Macaca fascicularis: one gene and its partner. The protein of the gene in region 2 interacts with the protein of the main gene of each other region in a pairwise test. Links are inferred from orthologs where the notes say so. Each region holds a gene or a part of one and is shown on either strand. Other genes may lie near its edges. The genes, in order: GNAI3 and GPSM3.

Region 1 (3,815 bases), on a different chromosome or scaffold from region 2:
GAAAAGGAAGAAATGATAGTACTTCATAACAAGATAACTACATGCCAACAATCAAGTAGGTGTGGCACCTTAATCAGATCTGGCTATTGATTATGGCATAAAAAGACAGGACAGTTAGGATTTGCCTAACTAAAGATTGATCTATATAACAACACCAATAAGAAAGTTTCCAACACTAAATAATGATCACAACTTTTAATTATAAGTAGATTACAAACCTTATACAAAGAAATCTCATTCTTATCATCTTATGAGTGATAATCCACGTGGTCTTTGCTGCTCTTGCTAAATAAATTCATCAGTACTAACGACAAGCAGCAAGTCTATTCTAAAAGCATTCAGAGCTGAACTGCTATTTTCCTGCACCAGGAAAAAATCTAGTTTAGTGTATTAGGATTTCAAGACCCTGACTGGTATCTAGTAATAAGTAAACCCTATGTGGATTTCACAAATCCTGTGTAAGAGCTGGTTTCAGACCAAAAACCTGACAGGCTCTGAGGTAGTAGTTACATCTGTATGCAATAATGCCGAACATCACATTCTACATATAAGCATAATAACATAACTAAAGAACACATGGTATATTGAAGGAGAAAAGTTTACTCCTAATCTCAAAGGTCACGAAAGAAGAAAATAGGAACCAAAAAAACATTTCTAATATTTATAAAAGACCATTAACACAGAGACAAGCTGAGGCTTGTTTTAGAATTACTAATGCTGCCAGGCATGGTGGCTCCCAGCATTTTGGGAAGCCGAGGCGGGCGGATCGCGAGGTCAGGAGATAGAGACCATCCTGGCTAACACGGTAAAAGCCCATCTCTACTAAAAGTACAAAAAAAAAAAAAAAAATTAGCCAGGCGTGGTGGCGGGCGCCTGTACTCCCAGCTACTCAGGAGGCTAAGGCAAGAGAATTACTTGAACCCGGGAGGCAGAGGTTGCAATGAGCCAAGATTGCACCACTGCACTCCAGCCTGGCGACAGAGCAAGACTCCGTCTCAAAAAAAAAAAAAAAAAAAAAAAAAGAATTACTAATGCTAATGAGAAAGTTATTTGTATTAGAATACTAGAATTTTCTCTCTCTCAAACTATCACAGTTGGACTGGGCATGGTGGCTCACACCTGCAATCCCAGCACTTTGAGAGGCTAAGGTGGGAGAATCACCTGAGCCCAGGAGTTTGAGACCAGCCTGAGCAATAAAGAGAGATTCTGTCTCTACATATTTTTTTTTGGTAAACATTAGCCAGGCACAGTGGCATGAGCCTACAGTCCCAGCAACTTGGAAGGCTGAGGCAGAAGGATCACTTGAGCCCAGGAGGTTAAGGCTGCAGTGAGCCATGATCACACCACTCCACTCCAGATAAGATGACAGAGTAAGACCCTGTCTCTAAAAAATAAAATTTTAAAAACAAACCAAAAAAAATCACTGTTTAAATGTCATCTTACCAACCCAAAACACCTCTATCCCCATATTTCTGCACTGTACTAAGAACTTAATTGTACATGACACTACGCACAAATTACTTCAAGAGCCATGATAATACTTGCTCCATTCCATTCAACTGGAAGGGAAATTCAAACCAAAAAGAAGTGACACTGGGGAGAAAAGCATTCCTATTTTAATATCAAAATGGCAAAACAAAACCATGTAACTAACCAAAAAAACTGGTTTTCATAAGTTCAATATTGTTACCGTATTAAACATTCGATATCTGTTTTGGTGAGTCTAACAAGCAGCTGAAAAGAATAAAATTAAAACAAACCAGTTATCACAGGAAAAATTTTACTGGGAGGCAAGTTACAATTTATTTTTGAATTTAAATTCCTCTAAATGGACACAAACATTTGATGCTATTTGGAGAAACAAGAGATGTTTGGGCCCCCATTCAGTTAAAATATTCAAACAATGCTGATAAATAGGTTAAGTTTCTAAACCAAGGAATACTGCCCAGAGGAATTTTGCCCTGATTAAGAGATGGTAAACTAAAACAAAAGATACTTGTATTTGGCACACCTAGCAAAAAGGCTAATGACTTACTTGAAGTATAGGTCTTTGAAGGTGAAATGCGTTTCTACAATGCCTGTGGTCTTCACTCTCGTCCGAAGAACATCTTGCTGAGTTGGAATGTAGTTAGACTGGGATATTCTATCCAGATCATTTAGATAACTAAATAAAAGACACACTTACTTTTACTTGGTGAAGCCAACCATGTGCATAGCAAATCAACAGACTAAATTAGTTCCTATTCTAAACCTGTTACTAGTTACTAGAGTGGCAAAACAGAATCAGATCTTCAGTATCATAGAAAAGATAAGAAGCCAGGCATGGTGGCTCATGACTGTAATCCCAACACTTTGGGAGGCCAAGGCAGGAAGATCACTTGAGGCCAGGAGTTCAAGACCAGCCTGGGCAACATAAAGAGACCCCTGTCTTTACAAAATATTTTAAAAATTAACTAAGCATGGTGGTGCACGCCTATAGTCCTAGCTAATCCTCCTACCCTTGAGTGAAGCAGGAGGATCACTTGAACCCAAGAGGTCAAGGCTGCAGGGTGCCACTGTACTCCAGCCTGAGTGACAGAGTGAGATCCCCGTCTCTTAAAAAAAAGAAATAAATAATAAGAAAAAATACGAATCCAACATAGGACAATTAAAGTATAGAGTCTATATACATTAACAAAAGTAGGTTTTTGTTTTCTTTTCTTTTCTTTTTGTTGTTTTTTTTTTGAGACAGAGTCTCACTCTGTCACCCGGGCTGCAATGCAGTGGTGTGATCTCGGCTCACTGTAACCTCCATCTTCCAGGTTCAAGTGATTCTCCTGCTTCAGCCTCCTGAACAGCTGGGATTACAGATGCTCACCACTACGCCCAGCTAATTTTTTGTATTTTTAGTAGAGATGGGTTTTCACCATGTTGGCCAGGCTGGTCTCAAACTCCTGACCTCAGGTGATTCGCCTGCCTTGGTCTCCCAAAGTGCTGGGATTACAGGCGTGAGCCAACGTGCCCAGACACAAAAGTAGGTTTAATTCTACAGAATTAAACTGTGAAGGCCAATTTAAAAAATTAAAACAATAGGAACAGGAAATGTTTTTAGTAAAGAAAAATTCCTGAAATGTAATACTAAATTAACTGCATACTGTATAATACCAAAACCAAATTATACCAAAAGTCCTCAGACAATTAAACTTAATAGGTCATGTGTGTTTAACCATTTGACAGGACATTAGAGAATGGTGTTTAATTTATTAAAATTAAGAGAACTATAGTGAGTAAGAATATTTTCCGTTTTCTTTCAATAAACAGAAGAGTTGGGGAGGTTTGGGGGTTTTTTAAATCTAAACCAAAAACAAATTGTAAATACCTCCAAAAAAAATTAATTTGTTCAGGGAAATAATTAAAAGACTGCTTCAAAACTATATTCTTTGCTGATTTCAGGCTAGAAAACTGATGAGCAGATGGCACCAATATAAGTGAATCATTAATGATCTATAAAACCAAATACTATCACTAATGTAAAGAGGCAAACTTAGATCAACTGTTATGAAAATCTCTATAATGTAAGCACATGTAGTTAGAGGATTCAGAGCTTTCTGAATGAATGATGAAAAAAGCAATTATAATCTACTTTTGTTGACCACTGGTAGAATTATTTAAGCTCTCAATACCTGCAACTAAAATATGTTATTAAAAGGTAGGCAAGAATCCTGAAACGTTTCTAAAGTCAAGTTCTCACTGAAAGAATAAGAAAGTTTTCAAATACAGTCATGCGCTGCATAACAATGTTTTGGTCAACAACAGACTCCATAAATGTATGCTAG
Region 2 (3,915 bases):
GCGGGGGTCTGCCACCTGGGTCCTGAATCAGGGATCTAGGCGATGTGGACTCACGCCGCTGGAATGCCTGGGTTCACCGACAGCTCAGTTCATATTTCTTGTTCTAATGACTCCCCTCCCTGTTCTACTTAATTAAAACCAGGAGAGGGGGGCTGGGGGAGATAATTAGGGAGGTCTCCAGCCGCTGCTTAATGAGCCAGTAATTAACCAGCCAGGGAGGGGAGCTGGCCTCTGGCCAGACTGGGGAGAGAGGCGGCCTCTGGCCTCACCTTCCTACCCTTCACCCCGCCCTGGTCCCCCAGACACCAGTCTTCAGTCCAGAGGGGTATTACATTTATTCACACAACCAAAACATTGGACAGACTCAGCAGCAGTGGGGAGGGAGGGTGGGCAGGGCTGAAGGTCCATTCACAGCCTCTAAACCCCTCAGTCTCAGGGATGGGGGGTGCTGGTAGTGGGACTGGGAGAATAGTCTTAATCTCTCAGGTGCCCACCCACCTTCCCTTCTTACTGGGAGGAAGGGTAGAGCTGTCTCTCAGGTTATAACCTCTCAGGAGGAGGCCTGAGCCCTCAGACCCTAGTGCCTAGTAGCTCGACAATTGGTGGTGTCCCCACAAGTTAGGGAAAAGACTCCCAGCCACTCATTGAGATGGGTGCCTGGGATCCCCCTTACTGCCTCAAGCTCCCATGGACCTGTGCAGGGGGGAGTTAAATCCACGTTCCACCTCGCCTGTTCCCAGAGTTTGAGGCCTTTCACCCCGTCCAGTTCCCAAGGAAGGTGATGTGGGCGATGAATATTGAGATTTGCGCTGCGTCTTTCAGTCTGTGTTACCCCCGCCAAGCAAGAGTTGAGGGCATGCAATAGGCTGCCCAGCTTTCAGACCAGGGGCGAGGAAGGGCTGGCTGGGGGCTCAAGTCTCAGCAGGTGTGTGTGGGGGGCCGGGACCTTTGCTCCTCCATTCGACCCCCACCCTGAACTCTCAGCAGCAACTCCAGGAGCTCCTGCCCCCCTGGAGGGAGGGGAGGCTCTGACCGCTGGGCTTCCATCCGCTGGCACTGGAGGAGTGGAGGCAGAGGAAGAGCTTTGGTGAGGGTCGGAGGGGAGGAGGTTCTTGAGAGGATCAAGGGTTGGTATGGGGAGGCATATAGGAAACCTGTGAAGGTGATGGGGTGCCTAGGGAGAAGCAGGAGTAGAACCCAAAAGAGAACAGGGCCAAGAGACCAGGAGGCCTGGGTTTGCCTCCTGGGGGGATGTCTTACCTGGTGACTGAGGATGGTGCTGTAAAGCTGTTCTCTGTCCTCAAGAGGACGGAGTGGGGCAGGGGCTTGGCTTGGGGGGTTTTGTGGGGTGAAGAAGGTGGCCCTCTGCTCCTCTAGGCGGCGGGACTGGGCTTCAGCCACCAGGTCCAGAAGGAGCTCAGTCTGCAGGGAGAGCAGGGAGGCCGAGCGGGGTCCTAGTGCTGGGGAGAGGGGTGTGGAGGGCTCAGAGACCCAGAGAGGTTGGCAGACAGGAGCCGTGGGGGAGTGTGGATAGGGTGATGTGATTAGGGACTTTGGGTCAGAGGAGAGGCGGCGCAATGGGTAATCCCAAGGGGAGTCTGGAGGAGGTGGGGAGAGGGCCCACAATGGACTGGGCCTTGGTAATGGGATCAGGATGTGGGCACCAGGGTCAGGGCTCTCCCTGGGTGGGTAGGGGTACCTGTGTGGCGGGTCCCTGGAGGAGGAGGGGACGGAGGAGCAGATCGCCAAGGCCGAGTGGTGGAGTTTGGAGGGGGCCAGCCTTGCTCATCCTGAGGGGGGCCCTGATGCCAAAATATGTCCATTCCAGTCAAGCAGTGGTGGTTGAAGTGGGTGGAGTGGACAGGGGCTAGGTCAGTGGCCCGTTTCCTCTCTGTGTGTCTCTGTTCCTGCCTCAGTTTGCCCAAGCCTTTCAAGGCCCCTGTGTCCCTACATTTCTGCCCCAGATCCTCTCACCTCCCTTCTTTCCCAGTGTCAGCCTCCCCAACCCCGTGCCCAGCTCACCTGCTCACCATCCTCTTCTTCCTGGGGTCTCTCAGCCTCCATCCCCTGGAGGGGAGAAACTGGTGGGGGAGGGGTGGCTGGGATTTGGGAGGAGGGCCGGAACCTTGGGTTCCTGAGGGGAGTGGGGGCTGGAAGGGGTGGGGGTGAGCTGGGGGCTGGATGCCTGGGTACTGAGCAGGAAGCTGAGTTCCTGGTCAGCCCCCCCACGGGCCCCGCCCATCCCTGTCAACTTCCTCCATTCTCTTTTCCCACCCAAACATCTTGTTCAGTCTCTGTCACCCCAGGGGAGCACAGAGACTGGGAAAAACTCCTCCAGCTGCAGGAGTGGAGGGGGCTGATGGTGGGGAAGGACTCCTGGCAGTCTCATCTCCAGAGCCTCAGTAGCCCCCTAATCCCTGACTCTGCTCCCTCCACCCCACCTCCTCTTCTGCTCTTTCTGTCAACACAGGAACTAGCTACACAGGAAGTGGTTTCACTCCTCAGAATCCCCCTCCCCCCAACCAGGTCCCTTCCCTCCCTGAGATAGACCCTGCTGTAGGATTTGGCCCTCCCCATCTTCCCTCTTACTTACTGGGTCTGGGAGGGGGCATGGTTCCAGTGGGAAGTAGAGGATTCAGACCTAGGGATGTGGAGCTCTCAAATATATACATAAAACCCTAGCACGGTGAAACCCCGTCTCTACTAAAAAATACAAAAAAACTAGCCGGGCGAGGTGGCGGGCGCCTGTAGTCCCAGCTACTCGGGAGGCTGAGGCAGGAGAACGGCGTAAACCCGGGAGGCGGAGCTTGCAGTGAGCTGAGATCCGGCCACTGCACTCCAGCCTGGGTGACAGAGCAAGACTCCGTCTCAAAAAAAAAACAAAAACAAAACCCTAGCAATGGGTCCAACACGTATTAAGTATTCAATATATATGTATTGAATAATCCCTGACCTTCAGGTATTTATAGTCTATTCAGGAGATGGCTGGCAGCTGTGGCTCACACCTGTAATCCTAGCACTTTGGGAGGCCGAGGAGGGTGGATTGCCTGAGCTCAGAAGTTCGAGACCAGCTGGGCAACATGGTGAAACCCCGTCTCTACTAAAATACAAAAAATTAGCCGGGCGTGGCCACATGCGCCTGTAGTCCCAGCTACTCAGGAGGTTGAGGCAGGAGAATTGCTTGAACCCGGGAGGCAGAGGTTGCAGTAAGCCAAGATTGTGCCACTGCACTCCAGCCTGGGTGACAGAGCGAGACTCCGTCTCCAAAAATAAAATAAAATAAAATAAAATAAAATAAAATAAAATAAAATATACACTCTATTCAGGAGACAAGATGTGTACCAAATGTGAGAGTACAGGAAGGCTTCATTTTGGAAACTTATAGTTTAGTGCAGATAAGGGGCAAGGGAAAACCTATTTTGGGTATAAGAGATGTAGATATGGAAAAATGAGAGGCTGAGGTGGGAAGACTGCTTGAGCCCAGGAGGTTGTGGCTGCAGTGAGCCATTTGTGCCACTGCACTCCAGCCTGGGCAACAGAGCAAGACCCTGTTTCAGAAAAAGAAAGAAATGAAATGAAATCGAAAAGGGAGAGGACTACCTCTCTGGCTTGGTCTTTGATCAATGCTAATCAGGTTGGTTGGCATCAAGGAAGGAGCAGGGCAGACAACCATTTGGTACCTCTAAATGGCAGCCTGTCATGTTAGGGAGTTTATAGCTGAGTGATTTGGAATGTGAAATGTGATGAAGAAGAGATCTGGTCCTGCCACTTATTCCTTTGCAATCTTGGGCAGATCTCTGTGCCTCAATTTCTGAAAGAGTGAAATAGGGTTTTAATAGCACCTACTTCATAGAGTTGATGTATTAAATGTAATAAAGCACTTGATGCATAGTGGATACTCAACAAACTGTAGAT

The links.
Region 1: the proteins of GPSM3 (region 2) and GNAI3 interact in binary tests that used the Homo sapiens proteins (3 or more experiments, as listed by UniProt). The two-hybrid records come from large-scale screens. The link is inferred for Macaca fascicularis from reciprocal best matches to the Homo sapiens genes GPSM3 and GNAI3.

The regions. Positions count from the first base shown.
Region 1 is NC_088375.1:124,756,770-124,760,584, forward strand, and holds part of GNAI3 (guanine nucleotide-binding protein G(i) subunit alpha-3), read right to left. Parts: intron 2,165-3,815; coding exon 2,036-2,164; intron 1-2,035. UniProt on the Homo sapiens protein: Heterotrimeric guanine nucleotide-binding proteins (G proteins) function as transducers downstream of G protein-coupled receptors (GPCRs) in numerous signaling cascades.
Region 2 is NC_088378.1:139,518,992-139,522,906, reverse strand, and holds GPSM3 (G-protein-signaling modulator 3), read right to left. Parts: upstream 2,469-3,915; 5' UTR 2,065-2,468; coding exon 2,023-2,064; intron 1,803-2,022; coding exon 1,700-1,802; intron 1,461-1,699; coding exon 1,261-1,460; intron 1,057-1,260; coding exon 919-1,056; 3' UTR 317-918; downstream 1-316. UniProt on the Homo sapiens protein: Interacts with subunit of G(i) alpha proteins and regulates the activation of G(i) alpha proteins.